Oryzias latipes: one gene and its partners. The protein of the gene in region 1 interacts with the protein of each later gene in a pairwise test. Links are inferred from orthologs where the notes say so. Each region holds a gene or a part of one and is shown on either strand. Other genes may lie near its edges.

Evidence for each region. The genes of interacting proteins can lie anywhere in the genome.
Region 2: the proteins of dazap2 (region 1) and stromal membrane-associated protein 2 interact in binary tests that used the Homo sapiens proteins (3 or more experiments, as listed by UniProt). The two-hybrid records come from large-scale screens. The link is inferred for Oryzias latipes from reciprocal best matches to the Homo sapiens genes DAZAP2 and SMAP2.
Region 3: the proteins of dazap2 (region 1) and stam2 interact in binary tests that used the Homo sapiens proteins (3 or more experiments, as listed by UniProt). The two-hybrid records come from large-scale screens. The link is inferred for Oryzias latipes from reciprocal best matches to the Homo sapiens genes DAZAP2 and STAM2.

The regions. Positions count from the first base shown.
Region 1 is NC_019865.2:22,360,977-22,366,230, reverse strand, and holds the start of dazap2 (DAZ-associated protein 2), read left to right. Parts: upstream 1-1,829; 5' UTR 1,830-1,990; coding exon 1,991-2,003; intron 2,004-5,254. UniProt on the Homo sapiens protein: In unstressed cells, promotes SIAH1-mediated polyubiquitination and degradation of the serine/threonine-protein kinase HIPK2, probably by acting as a loading factor that potentiates complex formation between HIPK2 and ubiquitin ligase SIAH1.
Region 2 is NC_019869.2:11,630,668-11,634,055, reverse strand, and holds part of stromal membrane-associated protein 2, read left to right. Parts: intron 1-319; coding exon 320-500; intron 501-599; coding exon 600-1,003; intron 1,004-2,784; coding exon 2,785-2,910; 3' UTR 2,911-3,388.
Region 3 is NC_019879.2:4,395,543-4,399,542, reverse strand, and holds part of stam2 (signal transducing adapter molecule 2), read left to right. Parts: coding exon 1-78; intron 79-245; coding exon 246-321; intron 322-827; coding exon 828-923; intron 924-1,166; coding exon 1,167-1,313; intron 1,314-4,000.

The DNA.
Region 1 (5,254 bases):
TCGCCATTTCGCTGCGACGCGGAGGACCGAGCCTGAACACAGCCCCGCTCTATTTTCTCCAACTTACCGCAAAAGCCGCCTGTTCTTCCGCACTCCGCCGCGTTCAAAGGGGCTCCTTGTCGCCGCTTGTTTCAGTCACGCATCATTATAAATTCACCTCAGCTCCCAGACAGGCGCTGTAACTGCACACAAAAGAGAGGCATTTGCATTGATAAGCAGGGCTGCAACGACGGGCTTCTCCCCACTAAATGCAAAGACGACGCCCTCCCCGCGACACTCAAAATGACCGAAAATCCCCCTAGGTGGCTCACTGAGTCCCTTTTTGAGCTGTAAAATTGGACAATTTTGCCCTAAAAGTGCCCTTTTGCACTACGTCATGAACATAATTTATGCAAGGAAAATTCTTGCATTGAAAGATGTCTGCCTCGACTCGAGCGGTGCCATGGTTCCCTTAAAGGGGCCGCGCCTCCTCCCGAAGGCCGCGCGCGGAGTGTGTCACCAACCAAATATTCCCAAAGATGCTTCCCAGAACTCTTCATTCGAGGATTATGTGCAATTTTCCACCGCAAAGAGCCTCCTGAAGTTATGCTTATATATTAATAGTTTGAAACAGGATTAATAATCAGTAGCTGTCATGTGTTTGTCAAAACTCTATTTAGTTTTTTTTTGTGTGCTTTTTGTTGTCTATGTGAATGACAAAAATGATCATTAGTGTTTTAGGGACAATTGGAATTTTAAAAATATATACATTTTATAACTCCTACAAAATAAAAAATACTCATTTGGAATATAGTATAGTGTAGTATAGTATTGTGTTAAATTGCAAGTAAATATTTGAGAGTGTAAAAACAACGTAAACCTAATTAAAGGTCCACTGGGAATGCTTTTACAATATATCAAAAGATTATCGGAGAAGGACTTTAAAGTGGTATTAGGGCTTATTTGGATTTTTAAAAATTAGAATAAAATAGTGTAGGAAGAGGACTGTATGTGTTTTTTCTTCTTTTGTCTTTTTAATGTGTTCATTAGTAGGCCTGCCAAATAAATTTCATATTTATCATTATCGCAATAGCCTGTGCAATATGCGTATTGCTACAGACAGCGTAAATTGCAATAAATAGTTACCTTTAATGTTTACACACATGTGAAAGCAATATTATGGCAGCTTGAAGTGTTTGACAAATGAAATAAAGTCCTTTAACCAATCAGATGGACCTCTTTTATGTTTGATCCCTGCCTCCTGTGTAGACGAGGGTCATTTGGAATATCGTTTAGGTTGCATTGACTTTTATTCAAGTAAAACTTTTGCAGTGAATTGGAAATGATGTATTAGTTATTTTTTTTTATGTAGCGTAAGTCATTTCGTAATTGCAATATTGATCACTTATATTGCACATTGCAAGTTTACTCGTTTCCTCATGCAGCCTTCTTGGTTAGTGTGTTTTTTAAATTATTTAAAGTTTTGGTTAAAGTTTTTGGTTAATTTAAAAACATGTTTTCTTATGAAAAAACAGTTAACTATACACTAAAATGAAAAATTAAAATTCTTAATGTCTACATTTTGATAGCTGTGCTGTCTTTTAATATTTCAAGAATCTAAATGATCAATATCCATTACAATTGTATGAATTAGTTTACTGTTGGCGCCAGTTGACAAAAAAAGTTTTACATCAACTGTAAATTTTACAGTCATCAAACACCAAGTATTTCTTTTATATTTAACCTACAAATAGAAGATGGAGTGATTCATTTTGTTTTTTTAAAACAGTTCCATAGTTCACCAGGTGGCGGCGCGCGAGTGCAGATCAAACTGTGAGCAGTTCGAGCGCAGATAAAGAAAGAATGACGTAACCACTTCCACAACAACAAGAAGCAGAGAAACAAGGAAGTGGATGATTGTGTAAAGCCGTAACCTATAAGAAGGCCGTGACAAGATTCGTTGAGTTCAGTGAAACCAGATATTTTTCAACCTCCGGATCAATCCACAACTATGAATAACAAAGGTATGCCTTCAGACCGCCACCAAATAATTAGCCAGTTGTTCGTTTTAACGACGCTGGCGTTTATATTCAGAGACGGGGAGCTAATCGTTATGGCATCTGATGCGAACTTCACGTTAGCTACGTAGATAACAATACGCTGGCGTCTTCTGGGAAACACCTTCGCCGAACCTAGACTTTTTCCCAAACCGTCAGAAACTGTTAGCAATGTAAATTTAGTGTCACATTGTATTCTTCTGCCGTTTACTAAGCAGGTCACATACTGTCCAGCCAGCTAACATGATTTTAAAGGGGAAGCTCACATGATTTCACTGTTAAGGATCACTGTTTGTTTCCTGCTTTTGTCCATGTAAACATCAGCGCATGATAATTTACGGTAACGTTAGTTAGTTTGGTGGCTATTCCTGTTGGTCGTGAATAAACGCTTATTGTTTTAATATTTAAAAAAATTACATTATTCGACCAATCACCTATGTTTGAGTCCACCTTACTGGAAATGGTGCTAGTTGCTAATTTGGCTATAGTGCTTGTCTTAATGCTAGCTTACTGGAAAAACATCTACGGTTCAAATTCTCAAGTTTAATATAACCTTAAATTATAATTTATGTGGTGAAAAGAGCCAGTTAATGTTTTCAGTTAAAAATACACAACCTTTGCCAATTTTAATTCGAAGATGAAATATTATTTTAAATGGGTTTTGTTTTCTATCAATTAACCATTTTATCAATTTTATAACTCAACTTTTTCTCTTTATTTCTTTTGATTTGGGCAGATTTTTGGATACGTAATTTCTGTAAAAATTGTATTATTAATTACGGCTTGCGTTAAATCCATTTATAAAAATAACATAAGAAATACAGAACAATTAAAATAGAAGTTAAACAAATGGTATAAAATGGTATGAAAACTAATCTACTATACAATGTGAACCTTTAATTTCCCTGGAGCTTTCTGAAACTATCAAGATTTCTTTTTTCTGGCTAATAGACCTGTCATAATTATCACATAATGGCTTAAAGCCCTTTTGTATTAGCTGACCATTTTTCAATATTGTCTCAATAGAATTTCTATTTAGACAAAAATTTGTTTTTTATCTAACAATTTAGATTTTTTTATCCTAAAGAGAATCAATTGGCTATGCAAATGAATCATTTTTTGTATTTTAAGCTCTGTATTTCTGACTTGAATGGGAAATCTTTGCACCAGTTTTTATTAGTGATTTGTATTTTTTATATCGACAAACTAAAATTGTTTCTATTTGTCGCATCTGGAGGTCAGTTATTCCAGGCATTTACCCAAACGAGTAAATCAGCATTTCAGTGACCTTTGGCATCCCAGGTTAATGCATTAGCATGACGAGTGTCTAAGGGGAATTTTTCAAATGCAAGAGTCTTGTCATTTATAGAATGGACTTGCTTGTATAGATCGTTCAGTATTTTTTTTAGGTCCAAATGGTTTGACGGGTAGATTTGAGTCCCACCAGACAGAGTTGAGTCAACTATCAAAACTCTGTTTGCCCATTGATCTCTGTTCCAACTCCCATCTATGGTCTTGAGCTCTGGATATTGACCTGAAGACTGAGACCATGAAAGCAAGCAGCCAGATTTAGCTTCTGCTGAAGGGTGGCTGAGCTTGTTCCTGAGCAGAGGAGGAGGAGGAGTTCTGTCATCCAGGAGATGAGGAAAATAAAGCAAATGGCCTCGCTCTTCTTAGTAGCCAGTTAAAGTGGTCTAGTAATAGTTTGTCTCCCCCCCCCCCCCCCCCTGTAAAAAAAAAAAAAAAGTAGATGGGTGGAGCCTCTGGATTTCATCATAAAACTCCAAGTTTCATGGAGGTAGTGATCCCAAAGATCATTCTTTGCCTGTTAACACCTGCTAACGAACTCAGACTGTCCTGGGTTCCTTCTAAAAGAAAATAACGTTTTGAGGGAATATGTGTTTAAGTAAGCAAATCTACAAACAAAAATTTGTCTTTTCAAGACGTTATCGAGTCGCCAGCATTTTCCCAATCTTTCCTTCTGTTCGCACCCATGTCAACTGGTCTCTTCCTGCAACAGTTCACAGCTCATGTTGGTGCAAGACTTTCCTCCGGCTTGACTTCTAGTCCTCCTCTGAATATCATGTGTTTTGAGTTTTTGACAAGTTTGTGGCAGTTTTCTTATGAAGGAGAACTAATGTAATAAAAAAATCATTTCACTTTTGTATTTGTCCTTTTAAATCGCTGTCAATCAAACTGCTGCAAAGACTCTCTGTTAGAATAAATTAGCTTTTGTGATGTCACAACGGCCCAGGAGCACATTGTTGTGCATATAAAAGGAAAAGCCTTTAGCCAATTACAACTAGCTTGGCGGAGAAAGTGAGGCTGCGTGTGTGTGTTTGCCTGGGGGCGGAGCTGGCAGTGCAGACTGTTCCTAGAAGGGGCTGTTCCTCACTTTGTGACATCACAATGTGAGAACCCAATCGTTTTTGTGGACTGGGAGGGGCTGGTGCTCAGAGAGCAGGTTTTTACAGGAATGCTCAGAAATTCATAAATGGGTCAAATTACCACTTTGGGGGTTCTTTTTTGCAAGGAATGAACATTATAATACACTTTGAAGCTCAAAATTTTGATTTTTGCCTGGTATAGGCCCTTTAGATTCAGGGCTCAGTGTTGTCTGGCATCTTAGAAAAACAAAATAGTTGCTTTGTCTCATTTTTGTAGGTATTTGTTATATTGTAGTTTGTCTTCTATACAGATGTCTCTCTGAAATTTCCCTTTTTTCTTGCTTTGCTCGAAGATTTAAAGTTTTAAAATAATTTAAACAATACACATTGACAAGGAACGAGAGATTCAGATAAAAAATATTTATAAAAATAATGATTTCTACATTAAAAAAAAGATAATTTATGAGGATTTTCTGTTAAAATCATATTAACAATCAAGGATGCAGAGATATACATTACGATTCGATCCAAACCTTTATTTTTGAGCCATGGTTTTGATTTGGTTTGATATTTAGATTTTGTATTACAAAGCAAGCAAAAACTACAAATGAAAAAAAAAAAAGATTTTTAATTTGCTAATAAGCCAGTAACAATGAAAGAAAACCCCTTTAGTTGGCTCATACTAAGACTGGTGCAATGTAATAAAACAAGAAATTATAGATCCTTCTTAAATTTAGCACAACACGTGTCTGACACACTGGTATGCAGGTGGGACGCACCGGTTTGATTCCCCACTACTCTGGCCAGGGGTCTATCATAAGGTTTGGTTTC
Region 2 (3,388 bases), on another chromosome or scaffold:
TTTAAAAATGCTTCTCTTGAAATGGCAGCTTTCATAAGGTCAGAAAGGCATAGAAAAAAAAATCAAGGCATGATTAGTATTTAATAGAACACTCTAAATTGGCTAAAAAGTCTGGCTTTATCCTTTTGCTTAAGGATAAGTCTCTGTGTCTACAAACAGGATCTGAACTCAAATAGAACTTTGGATGTCAAAATATTATAGCAAAACATGAATTCAGTTCTAAAAGTTTCCTAAATACTATAAGCGGAACTTTTATGATGTTTTGATTCTGACAATCTCTCTCTTTATTTGTGTCCTATCTGTTCATCCTGTCCTGCAGCCAGTTTCTGGCTCCATGCCTCAGAGTAGAGTGACTGCCTCAGTGCCTGAAAACCTCAGTTTATTTTTGGACCCCAAACCCAAATCGAATGAAGGAACTGTCAAGAAACTGTCCAAGGATTCTATTCTGTCCCTGTATGCCTCCACTCCCTCAGTGCATGCCAGCAGCGTGGCTGCACCTGGTGAGAACTCTCGCAGACTCTCGAAAGATATGTTCATGGTGAATACCAGGTGTGATTTGTTGGTTATTAACTGCCGACACTGTCTGTGATCATTTTTAGGTGGATTGTACATGAACCAGATGGGATACCCGACACATCCGTATGGTCCATACCATTCTTTGGCCCAGGTGGGAGGACTAGGAGGCACCATGATGACATCACAAATGGCCGTGATGGGACAGCAGCCAAGCAGCATTATAGGGGTTCAACAAAACAACCTGGTTGGAGTCCAGCAGAACTGTGTGATGGGACAGCAGAACGGACTAGTGGGTGCTCATTGTGTCCTGCCACAGTCCAGTGGTGTGGTTGCATCACCTTACGTGGCAGGAATGAGCCAGGGCATGATGGGACAGCAGCAAAGCGCAATGGTGGCTCAGCAACAGGCTGGAGGCTTAGCAACATTACCGCACCAACACGTTTATGGCATGCAACAGATGCAACAGGTTCAGTGGAATGTTGCCCAGGTGTGTACTAAAAGCATTAAGAAAGAAAATATGCTGCGCAAACTGGGCAAGCTTCCTGCTCCGCTCCATTCTGATGCATCCACTCTCAGACGACTAGATCCATGTACGTCTTTGTTTTCCTTGTCTGAGTTGGAATCTGGGAACTGTACGGCTGGGTAGCTCGGAAAAGTTTTGCCATTTTTTGTTGCACCGGTATTGTTAGGTTGGAGGTGTGAGGGGCTGTAAGCTGTTGCTTACACCCATCACTCAGAGGCAAATTTCTAGTGAACTTCTGCCGCTCTGCAGAAACTACGTCCTGGAAAACACCTGGTTATGATTCAGGCTAAAAACGGCATAACGATAAAGAAAAGACTACTGGGAACAGAAGACAATCAGAGTGGGACCCAAGTGTGAATGTGCGTGTTTGGGCCTGCAATGGTCCTGCAAACCGTTCAGTGTGTACCCCACCTTCACTCAACAGTGTCTGAATGAAGCCCAACAACCCTGTGACCCTGACCAGGACTGGGCAGGTTGAGAAGATGAATGAATAACAACAGAACAACTTAAATGTAATACAAAATACATTTGAAAAACCTGACACAAGCAACAACAAATGGGTGGTGAAACAGGGGAGCAACAGGGTTTGGTAGCAATGAACAACTACAAAACCATGAAAAACACCTATGGGTAATAACAGAAACAACTCAGGACAATGAAAACTAATATGTGACTAGAGAAAAATATATAACATAATATGAAAACAAGGTTCCCACGTCGCCTGCCCTTTTGTTGAAGTGCCCTTGGGCAAGACACTGAACCCCACAGCTCCTGGTGTTTCTAGGCAGGCGCCTGTTTTAGGCAGCGGAGCCGGCATCAGGGCGTTAAAGAGACTGTGACTGTAAAGCGCTTTGGGCCTTCTAAGAAGATAGTAAAGTGCTGTATAAGTACACACCATTTACCGTTTTTGTCAAAGAACTTTGTTTTGTTTTTCTACACATCACCAGTGAGTTCAAAAACCTGAAGCATTTAAACTTTCCAAAACAGAGCTCGATTATAACCCTTGTGCTATCCTAGGCACTTTGACGTGGGGAGTTGGGTCATATAGACCCACTAGACAATGCTCTGAACCTTTTTTCTTCAATGATTTGTGATTTTCACTGGTGTCCATGGATTACATGTAATCTTTCCACCTTTATCCACCTTTGTCATGGTAGGGAGAACACGTCAAAGTAAGGGTGGGGTCATCTAATATAGCACAAGGGTTAAAATAAGTATCTAATCTAGGAAAAGTTCCCTCAAATAGACAAGTCATTCCTCTTTATCAAACAGAACCTCTCAAATTTTGCACTAATCAGAGACGTTGGCCTGTGTCAGGTTGATATTACAGACAAATCATGCATTTTGTTGTACAAGCAACAAATTTGTTATGGATGTGCCTTCAGAAAAAGTACATTTGCAATGAGAAAAATTCAAAATGGCGGCCATTTGTTAGGATGGCAGCCATACACTTAATTGCTACAAAATATTCAATGTCTGTTTGCCCATTCTCAGTAAAGTGGGCTGTTTATGTCTAAAATGCAGTCTTTAAACTTGATGCGTATGTATATTATATATATTTTAAAATGTTGGATTTTCTCGTGGCTAACAATAAACTTTCTAAAAGAGGGGATCCTAATGTACGTCCATGCCAAATTTGGTGCTAGTACCACAACATTTTAACAACCGGCTCCCCTATAATTAGCAGAAATGCGATTGCTCTGATAATGTTTTAGTCATAACAAGGTTTATTTGTGACTTTTCAGATGACGCCGCACATGGCTGGAATGAATCTCTACAGCAGCAATGAGGGGGTGGGATACGGCACTCAGCACATGGGCAGCTCATCGACGCCAAGCTCAGCACACATGACAGCACATGTCTGGAAATGATCGCTGTCCATCCAACACCACACAACCGTCGGATCAAACTCATCCTGGAAGACTAGTTTCTAGTGCAGGAGAGGAAGGGAAGAGTTTTTTCTCTCCCCTGCCCAATGCTTCCTCTTGGCATATCACCCATAGCCATATTCTACAGATTCCCATGTTTGCCTTCAGGACATTTTTGTATTCTGGCCAAGACAACAGGGTTTAGTGGCATCTGGTTAAAACTCCAAATCTTTCTTTCTGTCAAACTTGTAACAAGCAGATGCTTTGAGTTTGGAGTTCAAATGCTTTTTTTTTTTTTTAACCTAGCTCCACCATCTCTACAAATGATTAAAAACAAGGACCCTAAAGATAGCCTTGTATGTAACAGGCTTTATGGATCACAATAAAATAACGATGCACTACCTAGGTCTCCAATAACGTTTGCCTAAAAAAAAAAGTGAGTTTTATAACAAAGTACACCAACAGCTTAATCGGATTTTAA
Region 3 (4,000 bases), on another chromosome or scaffold:
AACCAATGAAAACAACACAACAGATGACTGGGCGCTTATTCTGGACATCTGTGATAAGATTGGAACGACATCCAATGGGTAAACTGCAAGAATTTGTGTTTATTTTGTAATAAGTATGCGTTTAAAAATTTCTAATTATTCAATAACTAACTGTACACATATATTTAAGTGTATAGCATTAATTGTGTGTGTATATATATATATATATATATATATATATATAATCCTGTTTTTCCCTGGTATAGAGCAAAAGACAGCTTAAAATCCATAATGAAGAGAGTCAACCACAAAGTGCCTCATGTCGCCATGCAAGCCCTCAATGTGAGTTGGTTATGAATTTTAAATAATAAAAGAAAATTACCGACACAATTCAAAAGTGGGATTATTTTATGTGTTATATTTGTGTGTGTGATTTACTTGGGATAGTCAGGGTGACAGTTTCATATTTGTGGAATTATAAACTAATATTTAGGTGATACAATATTTCCAAAATACAACACCAATTGTAAAAATAGGCTAACTTCAACCACAGTTTCAATAATGCATTTTTTTGGTCAAGTTTTGCTGATTTTAATTCAAACTAATCAAGTGTTGACTATTCAAAAGACATTCAGTAAGCTTGAAGGATATTAGTCGTAAGGAGGAAAATGGTTCTAGGTTTAGATCTGTTTTCACACACTTAAACAACAGCAGGACAAGTAGCATTTAAATCTAATTTGAACTGAAAAAATACTTTCTTTGTACGGGAAAACCTGTTTTTAAATGAGACTGTAATGCAGATGTCCTGTGTAGTAGAAAACACTGAAATGTTGTCTTTTCCCTCACAGTTGCTCGGCGCTTGTGTTTCAAACTGTGGCAAAATATTTCATTTGGAAATTTGCTCAAGAGATTTTGCCAGTGAAGTGAGATCTGTTTTAAGCAGAGTGAGTCCTTTTTTCTCCTATTTTTATTAAAATTTATGTGCTATTTATCTTTTATTTATTCCTTTATAATAGAATCAACAGTCATGTTGGCCCTTAAACGTCTTAAAAGATTAAATAAAAAGTAGATGTGTTTAATTTTTTTAAACGTCTTTAAAACTTTGAACTGTTTTGGAACTCTGCTTTGAAAGAAAAATGATGATTTCCTTCTGGGTGTGATATATTTGTGTTTTCTGTCCACTGCAGGCCCATCCTAAAGTCTGCGAAAGGTTGAAGGCCCTGATGGTAGAGTGGGCAGAGGACTTTCAGAAGGATCCGCAGCTCAGCCTGATTAGTGCTACTATAAAGTCCCTCAAAGAAGAGGGTATCACCTTCCCCACCGCGTCATCACAGGTGTGTTGGACTCATTCAAACAATGAGCTTTTGCTCCAAAGGTTTTACATCCTCCTTTATGTGAAAGAGGTCAGGCTATAGTCCCACTTAAACATGAGGGTGGCTTTTATAAAGTTTCTGGTATATTTACAGTACACCACACTGAGACTCAGCTGTGATGCAGATTTTTGTTTTAATGTTCTACTGTCATTTTGTGTTTTAGCTGAAGGGAGAAATCCTCCAAGTAGCCCCTCTCAAGCCAGTCTTTTCCTCTAAATTCAGACTTGGCTTCGTGCAATGGTAGCGTCATATATTTTTAGTACAAGGAGCTAAAATATATTCGCAGTTGTTTCTTTAGATCAGGGGTGGGCAATTTTTTTGACTGGCGGGCCACACGGGGTTCTCAAATTGGATAGAAGGGCCGGACCAGGAGCAGATGCGTGGAGTGACAAAGAAATAACATGGAATCTGGATGAAAACATTTGGATTGGAAATTATATTTTAAAAACTGCGTTCTCATTTTAGAGCCAATTGCACCAACGGCTTGATGTACCTCGTGTAAAACTTAAGAGAAATGCTGCGTTCATGTGGTGTTTGAATAATAGGAAGAATAAAAAACAACAAATCTTCCAACACCACATGGATGCCAAAGCGGGGCCCCAAACAATAACTCTGTTTCTTTAAAACTCTTAACTTCTTTTATCTTTCTTTTATTGTAAAGCCCTAAACTAAAGTTTTCTTAAATCATGATCCTTTTAATAAAATAAATAACACTATTTATGAAATAAAAAAAGACCAAATAACTGTGATTTTCAAAGACAAAAAGTCAGGAAAAAATATACTGATGCATTAAAAAGAAAAACCAATGGATCCTCTGGATGGATCCAGTGGATCCTCTGCCGTCATTTTCCCGCTGAGATGTTGATGGCTGCAGCTCCTCACACGTCTCACAGTTTGCGCTGAAACTGAACAGCTGTGTCCTGCACGTCTGTTTGGCGTCCAGTAATAATGAAAAAAGCACATTTCTATGTCTTCTGCTGCAGCTACGCATATATCTGTGTTACCTTTTCACCAGTACAGAGTTCCGTTGTTTGTTGCAGGAGTTACGTTCTAAAAATAACCCGTGATCAGTGAAATCCACAGAGTATACACTTTTCTCAGACAGAACATTTTCACCCTTTTCTCTTGTTTCAATTCTCAAACCTTCATAGAAATTAAGTCCAGGATCTTAGAATGAAAACAAAGATCTGATCGATCCCAGATTTCTGATCTGAAGAGCTCCACGTTTCTGTACAGGAGACACACGGAGGAGATTGATTGACAGGGTCTCCAGCCAATCAGGACACAGAACAGGATGCGCTGTTTTAAAAAACAGCAGCATAATCGCTCTAAAAGAACGATTAAAACCGGGAAAGATGAACTACGACGTAGAAAGGGAAGACTGTCTCTGTTCTGTTTGACAGATTTTAGAGGGTTTCAGGTTGGAGCACAGACTGCAAAAGGGGGGGAATAAAATGTCACGTTCTATGCGCGTCTTGATCGTGTTGCCAGATAAAAATAAATAAACATGGTTCTCTGATATTGTTCAGTGGGCCGGACCAAACATGAAGGCGGGCCGCAGTTTGCCCACCCCTGCTTTAGATGGTTTTCAACTCCTAATAAATGAGTGTGGACCTCAGAAATATTGATGCATTAATTGCTCCTTCTGTCACTGCCTAAAGGTCTGGACTGAATTTAATGAAAGCTTTAGAAGCTATTAGGCAAACGCAAACTTTACTTTAAATTATATTCAAAATATGTTCGTAAAAATCCTGGGATGTATTTTAGTGTCACAATAAATCGTCCTCTAGCTTTTGTTTGTACCTTTTTATTTCTTTCCTAATTGGTTAGGTAACTGGATATTCGTCACGAGTGTTTGTGGACTTTACTCTTAAGATTGTTTTGAAGCAACCGGCCCACATATGCGTCATCTGTGTTGCTGCCCTGTAGAAAAAAGAGTTAAAGGCCCGCTCCAATCATCCTTTGATCTGTTTTAAAAGCTTCTCCAGTTGTCTTTTAGTTATGATAATGTCCTTGTTTGCCAAAATGACAGTTTCTGCAGAGCCGCAAGAGTTCATTAGAAATTCACCTCTGAGGTTTGCTTGAAGATTGTTGGCGCGAAATAACCCTGCCCCCACTTCCCATCACCCATCTGCTTACTCTCTCCGGCTAACTTACAGCCTCTCAGCCCCAACCTAACATTGCCGGTGCAACAAAAGTGGCGAGCAATATTGTAGCTATCCAGCTGTACAGTTTTAAGCCAGAGAAATGTATAAATAGTCAGAAATGCGATTTTAAGTTTAATTTTCTTAATATATGTCTGCCATCATCATAAAAATGCTACAAGAACATATTCATTAACACCAAAATCATATGTTTTTATCAGACTGGGTCTTCAATAAGTGTCTTTGTGCTGTACAAATCATTTGAAGTATTTTTCATTGTTTTGCCACCAGCTGTGCATCATATGCTTGTTGTAATGTTCTGCACTATGTGTTGTGAGAAAGGGTAAGCGGATTTGCCTCACTCTAGGGCTGGTGACACACGAAGCAGCGGGGATGACATTTAACGGGCATCTTCTCATAAGCAAATAGCAGGAGGCAGTGGGAACTCAAGCTGTCGCAGCATTTACTTTGACCCGTCCTCTTTTCTGAAGATAAATGTCAGTT